Linked DNA regions of Schizosaccharomyces pombe. The protein of the gene in region 1 interacts with the protein of each later gene in a pairwise test. Each region holds a gene or a part of one and is shown in the gene's direction. Other genes may lie near its edges.

The links.
Region 2: the proteins of SPOM_SPBC354.04 (region 1) and ifh1 interact in a two-hybrid assay, tested with the Schizosaccharomyces pombe proteins (one large-scale study listed by BioGRID).

The regions. Positions count from the first base shown.
Region 1 is NC_003423.3:547,273-551,771, forward strand, and holds SPOM_SPBC354.04 (uncharacterized protein), read left to right. Parts: upstream 1-3,023; coding exon 3,024-3,515; 3' UTR 3,516-3,999; downstream 4,000-4,499. Other genes in the region: Set1C complex WD repeat protein Swd3, read left to right, coding at 1,398-2,540; sre2 (membrane-tethered transcription factor), read right to left, coding at 4,471-4,499.
Region 2 is NC_003424.3:2,378,942-2,396,057, reverse strand, and holds ifh1 (TOR signaling pathway transcriptional corepressor Ifh1), read left to right. Parts: upstream 1-1,761; 5' UTR 1,762-1,798; coding exon 1,799-3,688; 3' UTR 3,689-4,112; downstream 4,113-17,116. Other genes in the region: GDP dissociation inhibitor Gdi1, read left to right, coding at 1-643; alp21 (tubulin-specific chaperone cofactor E), read right to left, coding at 4,268-5,003, 5,047-5,322, 5,369-5,468, 5,511-5,779, 5,818-5,972; protein Cbp8, read right to left, coding at 6,385-8,325; SPOM_SPAC22H10.08 (uncharacterized protein), read right to left, coding at 8,617-8,736, 8,793-10,151; Cdc42 GTPase complex scaffold subunit Scd2, read right to left, coding at 11,223-12,824, 12,878-12,886; metallothionein Zym1, read right to left, coding at 14,176-14,328; SPOM_SPAC22H10.06C (uncharacterized protein), read left to right, coding at 14,457-14,738; SPOM_SPAC22H10.05C (cleavage and polyadenylation specificity factor complex subunit), read left to right, coding at 15,815-15,886, 16,032-17,116.

The DNA.
Region 1 (4,499 bases):
CACATAGGGATTAAAAGGAGATGCGATTTCCATTACGACCCAGGCAACAAGGTTGACTAATAAATCAAGATCATTAATTTAATATGGAATAAGAAGGGAACTAAAGGCTATGATGAAAGGCTTAATATGTGTACCGATCTAAGATGCCAACTGTTTCACCAAAAAATGAAAACACAATATTGTTTTACCAATTTGTAATTGGGAGATTGGATCAAATAAATTGATTACCAATTCATGACCTCAACAAGTAATTCTAGTTGTTCATAAGTGTTAGCCTCTTTCTTGCAATTACTATCCACGTGATTTAGATGTTTCTGTGGAACAACAGCTATCTGGATAAAAAAACTTTGGGACAAACGAGAGTGAAACATTTTTAACTTAAATTATTTGCATCACTCTGAAAGTTATGAGTTGACTCATTCGAAGTCAGTTGAGAGATGAATCACAGACACTACTTATTGAGAACTTTAAGCAATGGAAAACTTGATATCGAAGGAGCTATCAAAGTCAATATTAATTGAATGAGGACATTATGCAAAGAACGTATTTTGGTTCATTATAAGGAAACCTCTTTTTAGTATCTTTCAAACAAGCAGGAGCTTCATGAATGCAAGGCCGGAGAGAAATTGGACTAGCCTACTCACAGACTAGAAGATTACAAAACTTCAAAGGATATGTCTCAGTACGAAGATCGTACCCTTAGCGCAAGAGTATTGAACCCTCGTCAAATTAGTGAGCAATATCAGAAAAAAGTTTTTGTATTAATTCCTTGTAAACTTTACGTTTCAGTAAAAGGAGCCTAGTCGTTCTTCTTCATTCCCTAAGCTTTTTCATAACTTCAATGCGTGAATTATTGTACAATTTGTAGTAAACTTCCATTTATTAAGTCTTTGAACTAAATGGCTTAAAAATGACAATATTCCTGAATATCCTTTGCAGAGTAGTTTTCGACGTGAATTGCGAGGAAAATGAACCTGTAAACTTTATTGAAGACGAGTCAAATTATTGAGTTATTTAATATAAGTCCAAAGAAAAGCGTTTTTTAAATAGTCATTATTGTGGTATGTTGCTAGTTGAATGTTATACACTTCGTTGTCCACACCAGTTACTGCTTGTGCATACAATAAAGCTGGATGCTTAAAAAATTGACTGGCATCATTGTAATTTTATAATCTACATATGCAAAAAGCCCATGAACTTTTTTTCTTGTACATAGACTCTAGAAAGAGGAAATAAATTGATCGATTTTACTATCAGACAAAGGCGTTTGTTTATGATTGTTGAGATCATTCAATAAACCTTTTAATACTTCCTGATACGATTTTTGTCTTTAGTCCATTTTTACGAGAAGTACAAACAATCGGTCTGATAATTTTTCACATATCGTATATTAGAAGATGGATTCCACAGCTCAACAATTTCCTTTGAACCACGACCTGCAAGTACAAAAAGACCAGAAAGGTGTTGTAGAGGAAGATGAGGAGCAAATACATAAGCGCATTCGCAATTATGAATCACATTCAGGATTCTCTGAATATTGTACTCTTTTCGGTCATGAGAAAAGTGTTACATGTGTCAGCGTTTCCCCTAACAAACGATGGATCGCTACCTCTTCATCCGATGGAACTATAAAGATTTGGAGCGCACTTACGTTTCGACTTGAATGTACACTTTTCGGCCACTACCGAGGAATATCTCAAGTAAAATGGGCAACTGGTAGTAAGTATCTAGCTAGCGCTTCTGACGATAAGACCATAAGGATTTGGGATTTTGAAAAACGGTGCAGTGTGAGATGTTTAAAAGGTCATACAAATTACGTTTCATCAATTGACTTTAATCCATTGGGCACGCTTTTGGTGTCAGGATCATGGGATGAGACTGTCCGTATATGGAATCTTCAAGATGGAACTTGCCTTAGGATGCTACCTGCACATTCAGAACCTATTATATCTGTTTCTATATCAGCTGACGGAACTTTATGTGCGACTGCTAGTTATGATGGAATGGCACGAATTTGGGATGTTCTCAGTGGCCAGTGTTTAAAAACATTAGTTGAACCCATTAATGTTCCTTTGTCTAATCTCCAGTTTACAGAAAATCGAAAATATCTGCTTGTAAGTAATCTTAACTCACAGATCCGTCTTTGGGATTATCGCCGAAACCGTGTGGTACGAATATTTGATAGCCACGTGAATACAAGATATTCTATGTCTTGGGATTGCTATTCTTCTAAAAATATTCCTAAAAATACTGAAGCTTTACCCAATAATGACTCTTCCTACCCTGATGATGCAGAATCTTTCATGCACGATGCTTATCTTTTAATTCCTAGTGAAGATGGAACAATCCAAATTACAGATCCGAGTACAAAAATAATTATTGACGATTCAATTAGGCATTCCGATGATCCAGAAACATCACTTTTAAATGTAACCAGTTTAGGTCCTTTCATAATCACATCAGGAACTGATCCTTATGTACGAGTTTGGGCTCCTTCTCTTCTATTGTCGAAGCACGAGAAAGATGGCTTTTCACCTTAACCTGAATTGTTGACAAATAATGTATAAAGTTTAAAGAAACTACTTGGAATTACGATGAAGATAATGATGCTAAAGGTTTACGTGCGAAAACAAGCTCCTTACTTCCAATCCAAAGGCTAGTTGGCCTATGAAAACTTAAGTGGATCGATACATAGAAGATAAAATTAATTTATACAGTCTTCGATTATTCTTTACAGAAGATTTCTCGAAGAACGAATGTCGGCCAAGTTGATATCCTGAAATTGATGGTTTTTCTAATTTTTCTCGTTTATTAAACCAGTTATATTCATTTTGTTACTAATTTTCATCATCTAGTTTAATTCGACAGATTTTAAAGGGAGATAAATTTTTTACTTTTTTTTCCTAATATTTATTCCTTTACCACTACTGATATTCTAATAAGGTAAAACTTTTTTCGAATTAAATCATTTGGCCGAGTCAAACTTAAAATAATTGAGAAAAAAACGTATTACCTGATTTTCAATGAGTGAAAACCCAGCACATAAGGATTTGGACAGTTTGCAGGTTGACGAGAAAGCAAAAAGTTGGATTGCTGAAAAAGTTGAAGAGGAGCTCCGAAGGTTAGAGTCAGTAGGTGCTAAAGCGATCCCCTTAGATGTTAAGAATTACAGTGTTATGTTAGATGAAGACACGGATACTGTGGTAAACAGAATTGAGTTGATGACTAGCTTCGACTTTGATCATGTTCAACAAATTCTTCTATCCGCCGTACAGCCCTATCCTTATGATAAAAACTTAATGTTTGTTTATTTGGTGATATTAACGCCTCTTCCACACCCTATGTTAATTCCATATTTGTTTGCACCCAAGGTCGTAGGCAAGAATCTACTACCCCGTGCTGACGGATTGGTAGAGAATACCTTGAAAAGATGGACATTCATTAATGATAAGCTCAAAAGGTCTGACACAGTCGTTCGCGAGTTCCAGGAAATTGAAGAGGAAGCGACTAAGTAAGGATAAAAGCCGTATGGTTTTCATTATGTTTCTCTTGCCTACTATCTTTTTCATTTTAACAAAGATTATATTTTTTAATCTTAAAAAATTTTTAAGAAGGTCCATGTTGGTCGTTATATTTTGGCATTTTTTTGAAACAGTATAGGAGTTGGGATTTGATACAATATAGGGGAAATTATAAGGTTGACGATGACACTAAAATTTTTTTCATTTAGATTGGCTATTCAATTTCAATTTGAAAACATAATTTTTATATTTCCAAACTGCTTCAATCTTACAGCAAGAAAAATTCGAGAATAAAAATGGAAGATAAATGGATATAATTATATAATTTTACTAATAAAGCCTCATTAGAGGGAGCTGGATAAAAAGAAAATCCGTTAGAAATGATTATTAATAGTTAATTTACCGTCGTCTGCTAGAGCGACAATTAACACTAAGGCAAAAAAAGATAGAAGTAAACAACAAACACGAATCATCAAAAAGCAAAGGTAAACGAATTCGTTCACATCTGTTGAAGTAATACATAACTTCTTAATACATTGACAAATCATTGCGATCAAGTATTTATTTCCAACAACGAGCAGTGAAAAACTATTCATTCCATACCCCCAATCAGACAAAACACTGGCACAGTTACATAAAAGAAATATTAAAATAGGAATCATATTTCTTAAAAAAGTGTAATAAAGCCTTCCAAAGTAAAATCACCGTATTAGGAAATCGGAAGTCATGAGCACGGCCATTAGGTCAATGTCATATAAAACTTACACAGGTACAAGATGAACAAAACAAAAACAAGATCCTTGAAAACCAACCAAAACTATAAGGGAAGCAGTATAATGTCACGCTTTTATTAGTTAAGTAGTCAAGGAAACATCCACAAAAGAACACGAACAGTAATCTCAGAGAATTCCAGCTTAGTGGAGAATACTATAAAGAAGAGTGATTGGAATTATGTTGCAACACCAGATTCTAAATTTA
Region 2 (17,116 bases), on another chromosome or scaffold:
ATACGGCTTGGGCGAACTTCCTCAAGGATTTGCTCGTTTAAGTGCAATTTACGGTGGTACTTACATGCTTAACCAGCCTGTCGATGAAATTGTTTATGGGGATGATGGTGTCGCAATCGGTGTTCGAAGTGGCGATCAAGTTGCAAAGGCTAAGCAAATAATTGGGGACCCATCTTATTTTCGTGAAAAAGTTCGTTCAGTTGGACGCCTTGTGCGAGCTATTTGTATCTTGAACCATCCCATTCCTAACACAGATAATTTGGATTCCGTTCAAATTATTATTCCACAGAACCAAGTCAAACGTAAGCACGACATTTATATTGCAGGAATTTCATCTGTTCACAATGTTTGCCCTAAGGGATATTACTTGGCTATCATTTCCACAATCGTTGAGACAGCTAACCCTTTGTCGGAAATCGCACCTGGTCTCAAGCTTCTTGGGCCTGTAGTGGAATCATTTTCTAGAGTCCAGGAAATATATGAGCCAGTGACAGATGGCACCAAAGATCAATGCTACATCAGTAAAAGCGTAGATGCCACTTCCCATTTTGAAACCTTGACTTGCGACGTTCGAGATATTTATAAGAGAATGACTGGCACTGACTTGGTTTTGAAGCAACGTCCCAAAATGGAAGATCAATAAACATTAGGAGAATCTGTGGCCTTCAAGTTTGTCACTCGCTGCCACTATAGTCGCACTGAATTTTGTTTTCACAGATTGGAATTTATCTTTAATGAATGAGATTAATGCATGATGCTATAAAATGTTATATATTGCATCTGAAAAAGATTTTTGGTCGTAAATGATGTTCTACGGCAAGTAGAATCGTCAAACCAGTATACTATTACAGTCAATGTTCATTTGATTGATGGGTATCGAATTAAAAATATTTTTCATTTTCAATTAGGTAGATGATAAAAATGAATTAGACTATTTAATAAACTTTGTTATCGCCAAGATATGAAAATAAAAATTAATTATATCTAATAATTAAGAAATATCAGTAATATAAGATTATGTAAAGAAGTTCAATAACATTATATGCCAGAAATTATTAAAGTTTTATAATGTATATTCCCAACTGGTTTCTACACGATTCAGTAACCGCTTTTACCGTTAACTTTGATGAGAGTAGTCAGCTTTACGGTGAGAAGCTTTAGAGAAGCTAGGCACCGTTAGCCAGGCGTATATTAGTGCTGTTTTGAACTACTCTGCTTGGTACGCTAGTAAAATTCATCTGTTCTGTAATTTAAACTTCTGTCGTATAGACATTATATTAGATATTTACCAACTATATTAGCAAAGTGCTTTAACAACTATTTTGCCAACAACGGTTGCTCTAAATTCATAATTAACTTCAAAATGATTAATCAATGAATGATTTCAAATTTATGACCCAACTATGAGTGCAATTACACCAGATGCTATTCAAGTTCATTCTATTGAAAATATTCCTTTACTTAGATGTAAACGAATTGCAAAAATGCAATTGGAAGTGCGATAAAAAATATGGAATGCGTGTGCAAATAATATAAAGTAGCAATTGTTGCAGATTCTGTTGTAATTTATAGCACCATTATGAACATTGGTGTCGTGAAGTTAAGTGTCGCAATGAAATTTGTGTTACCTTTGGGAATGCCGTAATGAAGTGAAAAATTAGGGCGGCATCACGCTGATTTCACGCACAACTTTTAGGGTAGGGTAGTTGGTGGAATCAGAACTAGAGGCTAAGAATTCCGCTTTCAAGCAGTTGAGTACTTAACCACAGCCAAGTAATTCGTCTTTGCGAATGTTAGGATGGCGCTAACGAATGGGCGAATTGAAGAGTATGATATACAGAATGGGTATCAAAATACTGAAGAAATTAAAAAGTTACCAGCGGAATTGAATTTTCCCGTTGATTTTGACAAAATGCCAACATTCATCTTTCAAGAAGAAAGACAGAAATTGGATTTGCCTTTATCTGACAGTGAGGAAAATCAATTTCATGATTTTTCTGATTCAAAATTATCCCTGGGATTTGAAATCGGTAGATCGAAAGAGAAATTTGTCGATGAAAAACCATTTTATTCAAATAAGGAGCCTCTGAAAATTAATTCTTGGAAAAAGTCTTCCTCACATCCCAAGTCGAAAGAGGTATCCAATGGACTTTTAAAAGTTTCTACTCCCCCTACAGAGTTTGTAAAACGAGAAAACGCAGGAATTAGACGACGTTCGTCTAATCAAGGATCGTTTGCGTTAGAGGCACCGAAAATTTTAAAAAGAGATGCAATGTTTAAAGAGAGTTGGAAAAATAAATGTTTTATTTCTCCACAAAAGGATAATCAAGGTTTTTCGAAAAGCAAGCACCTCTCAACGTACGAAGGTGAAACTGAAAATGGCTTTTCGACATCTACGGAAGAAGAAGAGGAAGAAGAAGAAGATATAGTTAGCGCTTCCTGGGTTGATAATTTGGACATGGACATGGCTTCTTTTAATAGCCATCGTGAACGTTTTCTTACCGAACATGTAAATATGGATGAGCGATCAGATGATGATTTCTTACTGGGGCTTATTAGTTCAGATTCTAGCGTTGACGATCATGACAATGAACAAGATGATGTTGACTTGATTGGATGGGAATGCTTCTTTGATGATTCTTCGGACGAACTCAACACTTTATCTCACCAAGCAGATGATGAAGGGGATACAACTGATGAAGAAACACCAGAATTACAAAACAATAAGTTATTAAATCTATCTACTCCTAAAAAATCTTTCGGTCAAACACCCCGAATCAAAACAGAATTATCGGAATCACCTAACTCACAACGTACTCTACTTTCAGCTGTCCCTACTCCGCTTGAGCTATCAGCTGAACTCGCCTATAAAGAAGATCTTACTTCTTTGGCTTCTCGTGCAAATATTTCCGATAATAGTACTGGTTTGACCCCAACACTAGCTAAAGCTACCTTAGCTCAACCAGTTTCTACAGTTGTCTCTGTAGCATCTTTTGAATTAGATCCAAGATTAAATATAACCCAACCAAAGCCGCCTGTAATGGGTACCTGGGCTAAGGAACCGAATCATTTGATTGGTATTATTGATGGTAAACACTCTCATTCCCTTCACCATGATAAGTTTGATGCATGTACAAAGGGTGAAAACACTGCTAACAACGGTTATGGGCCTCAAACTCTGAATGAAACTTCAGAAGAGCCATCCCTAGATGATATTCTTGATACATCTCTTCTGCAACCTTCTACACAAACTGATCTTCAAGAAGAAAATTCAGTTTCCTTTGCACAAGAAGATAATTCATTGAGTCGCTGGGAAAAAATTCCTATTGGGACGTTTCGAAAAAATCAGTACATAAAATCTATGGCACGTCGCGATGAGTTAATTCGAGATGAATGGTTTACCTTAGCTATCAAAACACGTGAAAAACGCCGACACAAAATTAATGCTACTGGTATGACTACCACAAATTCCGTTCCTTTACGACCAAAATCACGTAAGGCTCGTCGTGCTCTCAAAAAGAAAGCACGTAAAATGACTTTTCGTCAGATGCATTCTGATTTTCAAAGTGCGCTTGAAGACGAACACAATGATGGCTCTTACCTTGATAATGATTATGAAACAGTAGGGTTGGGCTTAGGCCCAGAATTATCTCCCCTATTTGAAATCTTAGAATCTTCTGGCTATTAAAATTTTTGTCTCCTTTCTAATTTATTTTATAAGTGTATTTGGTGTGCTGAATTATTTTCCAATACTACGATATTGGTTTCTTATTTTTTCGTTTATCAACCTTAATATATTTGGACTTTGTGTCTTTTCCTGTATTGAAGAATAAATCTATATGACATGGTTGATCACTTTGCTTTCATTTGGTCTTTGAACTTGCTTTGTTGCAACTATGTAATCAAGGATTCCCTATTATCACCAGTTCCCTGATCTTAGTTGACCGTGGTGGATTAGTTTGTCACACTTGACGTGTATTTTTTTTTTCTATTGGTTCAAGGTTTTGGCTTTGGTTTTCTTTGTTTCTTAATAATTTTATAATTGTGTCGAACCGATTAAATAACTTAGAGGCACTTTTCATATATGGTATATACATGGAATTAGTATATTTAAAGAGTTATTGAATATTAAATATAAAAAACTTCTAATGACTAATCGCGTAAACTATAATACTAGAAAAGAGTTCGCTAAAAAGATTTTTCTGTATTTTAAAAGAAGCCGTAAAACTAGAGCATCGATTTTGGTCCTTCAAGTAATAACTTGGCTTTAGACGTTTCCACTTTCCTTTGCATATACATCGATAAAAGTACAAGTAAAAGGGAGTTCAAAGAGACGCTTTTGGTCGTCTCTGACAGTCTTTGGAGAGAAGCTTACATCTCGTTCGCTTGAAGCAAAGACAAAAGTAGACGTATGTACTGGAATTGCGAAGTGGTATGAAATTAAAGCTTTTATATCTAACAGTTTCCAATTATAATGGAGCTTTAATAACATTGTCGCACCTGAGTTAATTGACGATATTTTGATGCCCTTTGTTATGCGATTTTTAAGAATGCCAGACGTCCAGTCATTGATTGAAGCTTCCAAATGGAATTGAATGCTTGGCAACTCGTGAGATTTCCATATTTCCTCCCAGAATGGCTCTATTTTCGTAAGCTCTTCAACATCCTTAATTTCATTATCAATCACAAGCTTCCGGATGCATGAAGTGTAGTACAACTCAGCATCCAAACGCTCATTAGGTGATATATTCACATCATTCAATTTTACAAGAGAAGGAATTCGCGCAATCACCAGCAGTTTAGCTATATCAGTAGGTTTATTAAAATAAGAAAGTGTTATACGCAGGTGCTTTAAGTTTTCTAATGTACGAAGATGATCCAGAGAACGAATATCCCTAATGTTGTTTTCTGATATGTCAAGGAATGTCAATTTGTGTAAAGTGTGTACAGGTAGTTCTGCAACATCAGCGAGGGAGGTAGAAGATAAATTCAAATTGTTAATTCTTTAGATTAGAAACCTAATTCGTATTTCTCAAATATACTTACCCTTGGAACACATCAACTGCATAGCCATCAGCACTATAAAGATTGAGATTATTTGCAAGACTTAACGTTTGAAGGAACTGCAGATTTTTAAAAGATGTTGCTTTTGATAAAATTATTTCATTTGCTTCAAGGTAAAGTACTTCCAAACTGGGAAAAGTCTCTGTAATCCATTGAACATCTTTACTGTTTAGGCCACATCCATTCACTGAAAGTTGTGTTAAATGAGGAATTAAAAGAACGGTATTTGAGCTAATAAAATTTGAAAATAAGTTTGAACTGAAAGAGTTAGAATATACGTGTAGAGATAAACAAAAACACATGCTCTAGAGTTAAATTTCTTAATGAAGGAAGCTGGGAACACAATTTAAGGATTGGAAAAAATTCATGAAACAAATTTCTCGATAAATCTAAGTCGATAACTTCTACAAATTCCGTTAACATTTAGTTGAAAATAAGTGACATACCAGGTAGTATTTTAGAATACTCGTACTCTATTTCAATATCTTCAATCCTATAATTGTCTAGAATAATAACGCGCAAGCTTTTTAAATCTCTTTGCTTGCTTTGGATTTTTTCGAAACCACAGAATTCTACCTGTTTTCCACTTTTAAATTCAACAGAGGAAGGTAGGGGACTTGAATATGAATATTTTTCGTAAAGTGCTTCCAAAAATGTTCTGCATGGATCAAAAGGGAATCCTTTGTCTACAAATATTTTTCCTTCTTTTACAATTCTAATAGTTTAGTTTCTTGTCGTCAATAACAATCTTACAATGGTTTTTTGTTTCTCCAACACGTTTTAACAAACTGTTTTGCATTTACGTTTTTATCAAGTATGACTTGGTATCGATCATTGTTTCCTTCGATGGTTAATGTTACTAAAGTATTAGATATAGAAGCCCTAACCATTCCAGTGGATATATGCATTATTAATCAACGTGGGAAAGAAAATGGATTGCTATAAAAATTTGGGCAGTTTAAGTTTTTTGTTTCTTTCAAATTTTGTCTTTTATCTACAACAAAAAGTTTTAACCGCACTTTTTCTTTGCGACATAGAAGTGTTCAGTACGTAGTGATAATATAGATGGCATCAGATTTGTTAGGAAAATAGTTGGAAATACTGCTTATTATTATACGGGTTTTGATTCTAATGTCGATCTCATTTTTAAATGTGCTGCTTTATTAAGTCTCTCAATGTTAATGTAAATAATCTATTGTTGGCTGCATACCTCGTAAAGTACAACTTGATACCAATGAATATATTAATTATCAAACAATGCGTTTAAATGTATCAAGCACCAAGCACGATGTAGATTGGAAGCAGCACTATCGAGAATTATCACTTTTTTAAATGAACTGTACATAAAGGAAATGTTGCTTTTTGGGGGCGAGAACTCCATCCTGGGAGAATTCGCAATTGTTGATCTGCAACCCATTTGAGACTTCTAAAATTTACCTCGTGAATGGCAAAAAATTCGATCTCTCGGAGAACTTTGTCATTTGATAACAAAGGAAAAGAAATTATCTTTAAAAAACGAATTGCGAATTCAGTTCCCATTTTTTTGCTCAATATCGAAATCAGAGTTCTGGTCCAGTCGCTGCTATTACGGAAACAATCAACAATGTAATCAAACTGAAGCCCAGATAACCGTATATACTTTAAAGCATAACTTAATTTATTTTTTTTTAAACAATAACAAAAAAATCTGGGCAGGTTTTTTGGCATTATTTCGATTCCTCGTTTTCTGTAAAAGTCTTTTACTTCGAAGGAATTCACACCTTGTAGTAATAATAAATTAATCTTATAACGACTAACTTCGTTTAAATTTTTCTTTTTGTTTATATAATAAATACAGGCATTCAAAAAACCTTGATTCTCTTGCATTTCACCAAACATCTTCAAAAGAGAGAAAATAAAATTTTCCGGAATTTGGCCTTTATGCTCTTCCCAATTTTGATTTATTTCTTGAAAAATTAAACGATCTTTAAAGACGACAACGTAATTAGCGAGTACATTTAGCAGGCTATAGCAATTTAACAAAAAAAGCTGACGAATAGGTAAAACATGCTCCAGTAGTTTTTTGCAATCTTCTTTCTTTCTTAATAAAATAAAACGAGAAAGAAAAATTGCTTGTACGTCAGCCAAATCAGATAAATTGTAGTGATCTCGTATAATATGTAAATATGCGGAATAGACCTCCATAGAGCCTTCTACTATATTGGAAAAATTTTTGAAAAAAGAAACAAAAAACTCAATTTTTACCGGCCATCCCTTATTAAATGAGTGAATGAGCCACATTTTAAGAGAGCAGCTATTTTTAGCCGAAAGGAGAGATATAAAGACTTTATCCAGAAACTGTTCAGATGGAGTTATCCTTTCATTATCAATATGCTCCATAAGCTGAAAAAACGCACGTAAACGTAAAAAAATTTCAGCCTTCTCCATCTTCGAAAAAGCAATAGACGGTGGTAGCATAGAATTAGCTAACATGCAATGGCTCGAATTTCCATGGAAAAGACTGTAATCTCTAATGAGAAGCAAGAAAAGTGTGCGGAAATCATTAAAAGTTTTTGAATTAAGTGAAGAGCGAATATTAGCGCTTTTCAGCAGTTTTTCAACTTTGTGGTACGGTCCATCTTTTCGAAAATATATAGAAGAGAATGAACTGTCATATTTAAACAGATCAATTGTTTGCAAAATTATTTTTAAAGAAGATTTTAAGTCAGTTCTACTCAAATTTACAGTAGATACGCAAATATTCAAGGCAGCTGAAATAATGCTCTCCAGAATTCGCTTTTGCCTTTGCAAATCCGGATCTAAACGAAGCACATTATATACGAAATTTACCAGTACCTTTTTTTCGTCAGAATATTGTGAGAAAAGCAATTTTGAAAAACCATTATCTTTCGGATTTGAATAATTCGTAAACATTAGCAACTGATAATACAAGTTACTATTAACCTCAAAAACTGGGTAAAACGGATGCAGAGCTTTCAGACATTTGTTATATATTTCTGATAACTCACGTTGATATAGCAGGTCATCATCATTATAGTTTTCATAATCTCTCCAGGCCAAGGTAGAGTCTTCAGAATACTTTCTTATTAAAGATTTGAATTGTAAACTTTTTTTTGCAGAGAAAAACCGTCTGCTTAATGAAGTATTGTCTTCAAAGTACGCTTTGCAAGTGCAAAAAGAAATGTATAAGGGTTTCGACTTGACAAGAAAAGCACTTGTATTTGACAAGTTTTTTGACACTTTGCTAAGGGTTTTCAACATAAACGCATCCTAGGTTTAATCCTTTATCAAATTAATCTCCAAAGTATTCTAAGTATAAACCGATCAAAGTATCTCTAAATACAACCAACTTCAATAAAATAAAGTAAATAAAGGTTTTTGGTACGTGTATTTATGTCAATCTTTTGAACAATTTACGCGAAACGTAATAAGATTTCCTGATGTTGGCAGTTGTTGGTGGGAGCCTATTACACGTCGAGAATTTATATACATTTTTGCAATAATAAAATAACTGATGCTTAAAAGATTGTATTTTAATCCATTACTAAATAATTACTCACCATTGAAGCTAAGAAATCCGGACATGAGAAGTACACGATAGTAATCTTTTGTGTGTATGTTGTTTGCCCAATTCCAGGCACTAGTCAAACGTCCATCAATACAACTGCCAGCCTAGAGCTAGTTAGTAATTAAACAGATATATATATAGATAGATAATTTTAACTTACATCAAACCAATTGTCTGCACCAGATCCATCAAATCCGAATCTCATAAAATCGGTTAAAATAGTCTTTTTTAAATATTCTCTGCCTCCAAAAGCTGTATCAATGTAGTTAAGAAGAGAATGGTCATTTAAAGAATCTAACTCCTTGAACAATAGAACCAAGGGTGTTAAAATCCTTGGCACTTGCATATACTTGTCTATAAACAATAAGGCATTTGGAACAGCGGTATCTCCGAGATGGATTGTTGAACTTCCTATCCATGTTTCAGACTGTTCTTGAGCCGTCCGCAAAATCCTTTCCATCGCAATTCTAATGTTGGGACAAGGCTGCATTCTGTGTATTCCTTGATTGTTATCAATTAGCTTATACTCCATATCTGGGTTAGTTAACTCCAGATCACTAAGAGCCCATAATGAAAATATTTCTCCCATAATTAAAAGCCAAAGATGCAAACTTTGCACAACATAATGGTACTGTTTGTAATGACTATGCTTTAGTCTTGAGCCATTAATGGCATCAATAGCAAGAGTAAACTCATCGTCCACGGTATCTGGAGAAAAATATGCTTCTACCAAGCCTATGAGTTTGGCAATTGGATCACGATTATATCTCAAGTAACTGTTACTATCAGCAATAGAGTAGAGACACCATCGTACTTTCTCTTTTGTAATTTTGCTGCTGTAATACTTTTTTGCAATATGTTCAACAGCTCTTTCTTTCGCTTTAATATCTTTTTGAATCGCTGAGCGTGATCTATTTTCAGCGACTATTTCCATAGTAGCAATTTCGGCATAAGGATCTTCTAATGCGTTCAAAGCATCCCTTTCATTCAAAAATTCATAGACAGTCAAAATGGGTTTAAAGAGGTTAAATCCAAGTGCGTCTTGAATTTCTGGTCGCATAGAATCTTGCACAAAGTACATCAATTTCCCATAAGTAGACCCCAGTCGGTTGGGATTTAGCACTTTATAACGTCGACCTATTTCAAAAATCTTTTTAAAAAATTCGGCATGTTGTTCAAAATTTTTATGCTCAAGCAATTCTTGTCCAACTTTATAATCATAAGCAACCATGATACCCGACAAAACTGCAGTAATTCCTTTCAATTGCTGAGCCAGTCTTTTCGCTGGCGACGAAAAGCTTAGGGTATCAACGCTGTCGGTATAATCACTCACATCCAATGCAGCAGTAAGTAAATGAAGAAGCTTTCTTTCTTCATATTCAAGTCTCAAAGGAATCACTTTGGCCCTTTGCAACAACACAGGAGAAGAAAATTTCTTTTCAGGTGATTCATTACCCGTTTTAGATTCATTGGGGAGAATGGATGACAAATACAAATTCCTTAAGGCTTCAGCGTCCATGTCTATGTAAAGAATACGTTCTCATGAATTAATCATACAGGTATAAATTAAAAGGAGGAAGTATTAAAGTGAGGGAATCTTTAAAAAAAAATTTTAATTTAACATGTGTTTTTGCAATGTTGAAATAAAAGCAACTGCACAGCTGTAATTTATTGTTTTTTGATCTATATCGAAGGTTGGGCGTTCACTACTTGTCACTTCAACAGGTACTATTTTCTACCGCTATTTTAGATGCCACCATTCTAAGTATACGGAAAAGGAAATTATATGAGCATTTTTTATTTTTGAAATTTGATAAGCATTAAGGAAAGTATGCATGTAGTAAAGCAATATTTTAGATAAACTAACAAGATAAAGCGTCTTTAGTATTGGATTAAATGTATGCAGCATGTTACTTGTGGTCACATTAAATGTAAGAAATAATGTATACATAAATGAAGTAAATGTATAGAAGAAAGCGTTTCCGGCTTCCAATATCTAATTGTTTAATGAATCAACAGGTAGTTTGCAAAATTGCCTTTACCAAATTGGCTGTATATAATATACGTGATCGATATTGTAGCTGGTTCATATGAACCAATTTATTACTGCGACATGATATTGTATTACCAAATCTGCGTTGATTCAGCTGATTAAGACGTTGTCAAGAAATGTTGAACTTCTCGCAATAAAAACGTTTTTATTTTACTACTTAGGCTTACCTTTATCCCCTTTTGAAATACGTCAAATACATATATGTTTGGAGGAACAGTATCAAACAACTAATGAAAATATTCAATTGAATGATTGTGAACAAAAAGGGAGTGCATAGTTGAGATTTTTTGTTTATTTTACCTCCAAGAAAGCTAATATATAAGGAGAATAAACATTTTGCATCTTATTCGGTCGTGATTAAATACTATCCAAAAACGCATACCTCTCGAAAAAACAGACAGATATATTAGAAAGATAAAGAAAGCTATTATACCGATGAAATTAAATTAATAAAAGTAAACCATGAAAGAACGAAACGAAAAAAAAATAAAATGCAAGAACGTAATAAGAAACCCAAATCTTTAAATATACATAGTCTCAAAACCTCCGTCTTTCTGCAAAAAGTAAAACTCCTGATTCTTGAGAACATGCCTTCCGTAAATCGTCAACATTATTAAGAGGTAATACTTTATTCGCGTTCGTATCTCTGTATGACAAATGTTCACATTCTCCGAGTTTATTAGTCAATCGTTCACAAAAATCTTCAAATGAGATATCAGAGGGAACGCGCAAAGCAAAGGTTTCATCTCCTAATCTGACTTTAACTTTGCATGTCGAACCTGCAGTAGTCGGAGCTGATTCGGGAATAGAGATATTAGTAGCTTTTTCAGGAGCTTTCTCTGGCAAAGAGAAACTTAACGGTTCTCTGGGTAAGGCTTCAGGCATCGTACTAGTTGGATGAGGGGACTCAACGTCTCCGTCAAGCGGTAAGAAGAAAAGTTTGACGAGTTCATTTTCGAGTAAACGAGCTGGAAGCCTGCACATTTCCTTCAGATATACATCTAAATCCATTGCCCTTTGTGAAGATATTAATTCATTAACGTCATCAACTGGACCGGGCATGTAAGGAATAACTCGTCTTTCGTCCCCACGACCAGCTTCATTAGGAAATAACTCTAAAAACTTCGTCTGGAAATTAAAAAAGTCTTCGTAATATCTACAAAGGTTTCGATGTTTTCCATCACTCATAACGGCACGGACCAAATACCAATATTGGTCATCGCGAATCATGTAGTTTTCCACCATTGCAGCAACAACGGTAGGTTCAGAAGACATGTCTTTCTTGTTCTTAGAAGCGATGCTAGCCGTACGCGACTCCAATGTTTGCAGAGGTGTTAATTCGTTAGCGACGGAACCAGGAAAAGTGCTTGAATTGTCAGTAGCAGCTTGATATGTAACATCGTTATTAATTTGTAAATTTTCAGTGCTTGGACTTAAGCTAGGCATAGTTTGAGTTTCACCATCACTGAATTTCCCTAAAGGAATACTACTCTTTTTATAATCAGCAGCCGCACGTTTCCAATCCTCTACACGAGGTATGCAAGAAATACGTAAAACAGCCTCACTAACGTCTTTTATCACAGCTCCGGTTTTTAAATCTCGAAGTTGTATAAATGAAAGAGGAATGAGACCTGGACCCCCTAATCGTCCTATAGGTTTGGCTACTAACCACTCATGATTTGACCGAGCAATAATTATAATAGCCTCACCCGCCTTGGCTTCAAGTTCATCTGGTCGTTCAGCAGCAAAATCGAATTGCACAATTCCAAATAGCGGCTGTGAACCAGAATGGAGTTCACTGATTGAGCTCCTAGTGGTACTAGAATTGGTGGTTAAGTCTGTAAATGATATTTGCCCGCTGCCATCACTGTCTCGTTCCGATTTGACCGTTTTTCCTATCTCTTCAAAATGAGATACTGGAACAAAGCCACGAGTACCTGCAGCGGGATTACAAACTTCGTACCAAGCCTTGTCATTTTCACGACCTATAACATGAAAAAAGTCACCCTTGGCAAATGAAACTTCAGTTGCTTTACGAGCTGTGTAATCATAAAGGGCCCTAATAACTTTTCTCGGGGGTTCAATTGAAAAAGGATCTTTATCAAGAATTCGACTATGAGTTTTCCAAGTCCTTTTAATCTAGAGATGGTTAATAATTGATTAATTAACAAAAAATTTTTTTTGAAGCATACCTTTAACATAGAGACTGGAATTAGAACAAAAAGAAAGAAGGTAGTAGAACAAAATTTGAAATTATATTACAATAATCTCAGAAAGATTCTAACTATTAGAATTCCCTGCAACAAAAAGATTTAACTTAATTTTCATAAAACGATCAAGTGGAAATTATAATTACAGACAAACTGTTAAAGCGATAACCTACTGTAAGGGTATATGAATTAAGATCCGAGATAGCAAAAGGAATGTATGAAGAAAAGGCAAAAAGAATGGCACGGATTTAAAGAAAGCAATATATTGTAAATGAATCAATAATTAATTTCCAAACACTTTGAAAACGCTGTCGTTTTTATGAAAGATGAGTATACAGGATATAATATTCTCACAAAACAGACAAAATCGATTTGTTAGCACGTTGTAATTAGAAAGAACGAAGAAGCTAGCAGACACTCAATTATAGTGACTGAACTGCTGAGCCCTGAAAGATAGATGAAGGAAGAAAAGGACGGGAAAAGAGGCTTAATATAGAACAATGAGAGTTGGTCCAAGCAGCAAAGTAATATATTAGAAGAATACAAACTCAACAATTTTAAACAAGGAAACGTATTAAAATTTTTCCCAACTGACTCTCTTATTAATTTCCCTCTTACCAAGTATAAAATTACAGATCTACAACTTCTATGTTCAAGTTACCTTTCAGTTAATTCTGGAAGTGAATTTTGTCGCGTAGCATTGTAGTTCACTATCGTAATTATATTATAATGAGTATTAAACAGTTTAAAGGATTACGCGCTATTAGCGTTCGCTATGAAAAATAGATTCCGTAGTTACCCAAATATAATGTATACATTTGCTTTACAGAGCTTAACTTAGCAATGGTATAGAAGGAAGAAACAAACGTTCGTTAGTGCCGTTAAAATATTAAGACATAATTTTGGTTGAATTGATACAGAGTATCTTTTTTTGCACATAAAACTAATTTATTGTGGAAAAGAATCCACAATAGTGGACGATTTTCCAAGAAGATGATGCCCTTACTCTACGCTAAGCAAAAATAGCTGTTGAAAATAAATCAATTTATGATTTCATTATTATTCATAACAATCATATCTTAAGAGTTGAGTTGTAAGTAAGAATGCTCTGTAAAAAAGTAGCAATGTAGTAGGATCAAGACATCAGGGCGATTCGTTGGTCCATAATAGTATTGTTTTCTCGACTGATGCTTCGAAAAACAATAAGACGAGGCGGACATTGCTTTATGGATGAAATATTTCGTCAAGGCCAGAACTACAGTCCGTAAATCTCATATAGATTACTTCGAAGCACATTTGCAAGAAGAGCACTTGCAGTTATCAACAGCGCTGCTCTTGCAACCACAAGACTCTTTGCAATCTTGGCAACCGCACTTGGATTGGCAGTCGCAAGGCTTGCCTTGTTTGCTCTTACATTGGGTAGTGTGTTCCATCGTTGAAAGTTTGTTAGGGTGATATGAGTTGTTGAAAGTCGATTGTCTCAAGCACGCTTAAAGTGGTAAAAAAGGTGAGAGTAGGGTGCCTTTATATACATTTTCCAAGCTAAAGGATTGACAGTATCATGTCATGTCGATATAGGATCTGCAGGGATATTTGGAGAGGCAAATGCATATACGTATTTAGATGTTTGTACACAAATCATGCTGTTGTTTCATGGAACCAAACAAATGAAGTGATTGGACTTTACAAAGCAAATGAACATAAATTTATGAATAATAGAAAACAATCTCATATTAAGAATGGGTTAGTTGTATCATATTCAATATTATATCCAGTTGGTAAAGGTAGATCTCTGCGTAGTACTGGTGTTGTTTTGATTCTGGGTCCTGTTAAGGAATATTAACACTTTACATCATCTGATACTCGGGTTCCGTTCGTATCGCCACAATAGTTCCCGCCAAAAGGTAGGTGCCGCAATGGCTTTACTCCAAGATTCTAAATTCATACAGACTAGCTATGCCTTCCAACTGAATAAATATCAGACTTGAGGGCATATATGAGGAGGGTGTGGCAGAATTCACTTTTGTCCGTCAAATTCACTATTAACATTGGTTATAAAATACGCAAAAGTAAGTCTTTACGAGTTTAGTAAAAGCTGAAACTGATAGTTCTACAGTTTTCCTACTTTCTAGAATTCTCTGTTTCTGCAAACTTTAACTTAAAATTACATTGAAAACATTGGTTAAATTCGTTTGTTTACATTTATTTCTAAGCATAAAGTTTTTGGATTTATGCATCTTATCTATGTTTATGTACTCCTTTATCAGTAGATTTTATATTGACAGATAGATTGAGTATATAGTTGTTTACATGTTTAATCGCGTGGTGAAGCTTCTAGCAAAATAAAACATCGAGCGTTTATTAATAGTGAATAGAAATTAGGCATAAGAACAACTGAGGCATTGCACAACTTATAAATGTCTACGCGGAAGCTCATCACGAACTTTTGGTATTAGTTATTCGTTACGCTAGTATTATACTCTCTTTTCCATGTTTATTTCTTTCGCTTGAAGAGTGGATTATACACACATTGTATCCACTTATTTGCACAGGAAGTATTACAAGTGGACCTTTTCAGGTTCGGTCAGTAAGTTTTAACGCATGCTATCTTGCATTTTAAACAACTTTCCCTTTAACAGAATCACATATTGTACGAACTTATGGGCCTAAAAATATACTTATTTTCTGTCATAAGTCGTCCAGTATAAGATAATATAGCATCATAATAAAAACTCAACTGTGGCACATATCGTTATATTGACTACCCTTCAGTAGCTAACATTTTACGAAGTATCATATTCTTCGTTATCTGCACTTCAGATGGAGTTAGTATACCATAGTTTTCGTAGCTTCTCTTGTCTTCATCCTGAACAGTCAGCGGTCTCAGCTGCTGCTTAGATCCATTTATATTTTTAAGAAATGAAAGAAATTTTCATTCCGAAAGAGTGTGAATGGAGATTTGAGGTCGACGAACCGGCAATTCAAATTCGAGTAAGTTCGTGGTGATATTGTTGTTTACGACATGAAGTAGCTTACTTTTGCTACTTCAGATTCTAGCAAATATTTACTTAATTTATTTAACTCTTTCTTTAAATTTTTTTTTTCTTTCTTGGAAGTATTTTCCTAACATGTTTAGCTCGTGTCTGGAAATGCAGAATATTTTGGCACTGAATTGGCTTTAGGTCCACCATATCATTTTACTCGTGTTAAAGGAGCGATATATACATGGCAGGGATGTACTTTAGAAGTTGAAGGTGAACCGTCCGTTGAGTATGTTGCTGAAGAAACTCCTATGAGTACATATCTAAATTTGCATTTTGCTTTGGAAGGCCTTAGATTACAAGCCGAAAATGCCGCTGCAAATGATGAGTCTTCATATGGACCGTGTGTTTGCCTCATTGGCCCAAGAAGTTGTGGTAAAACAAGTGTCTTGAAGATTTTAGAATCATACGCTTTGAAACAATCTCGACATCCAATTTGTGTTAACCTTGATCCTACTCAACCAATGTTGGCTCTCCCTGGGTCTATTTCTGCATTTCACAATGCCACTATTCTTGACATTCAGGATGCTGATGGCTTTGGTGCAAGCACATCTACTGGTCCTACTCACGTTCTTGCCAAAGTACCACTGGTATATAACTTTGGTTTGGATTCACCACTTGATAATCCTAAGCTTTATAAGCTTTCATTATCTAGGCTAGCTTTGGCGGTGCATTCTAGAATGTCCCAAAGTAAAGATGCCCGAGTGTCTGGTTGTTTGGTAGATACTTCATCCATTCAAGAAAATGCTGAGAAGTATCAGGATATCCTTCATTCTATAATTACAGACTTCCGCATTAACATTATTATTGTACTTGGTTCAGAGAGATTGTACAGCAGTATGAAACGTAAGTATGCTGATGCGACCTGGTTGTCTGTGGTGAAAGTTTCATCAAGTGGTGGTTGTATTGATCGCGAAGAAGAATGGATTCAACAATTTCAGGCTCGTTGCATTAAGCAATACTTTTATGGTGATGATCGGATGCCTCTTTCTCCTTTGTCTATGATAGTTGATTCCACCCAACTGGTAGTGTATCGTGTTTTGGAGGCGTCTGAAAGCGGACCTAAGTCTTCTGTCCTTCCTTTAGGGTTTGAAGAAGAAAATACTCAATCTGAAAAGCAAGATGGAAATACATCTTTAAGATTACATGGCAAGGGCGAATTTTTGGAGCGAATTAGTAC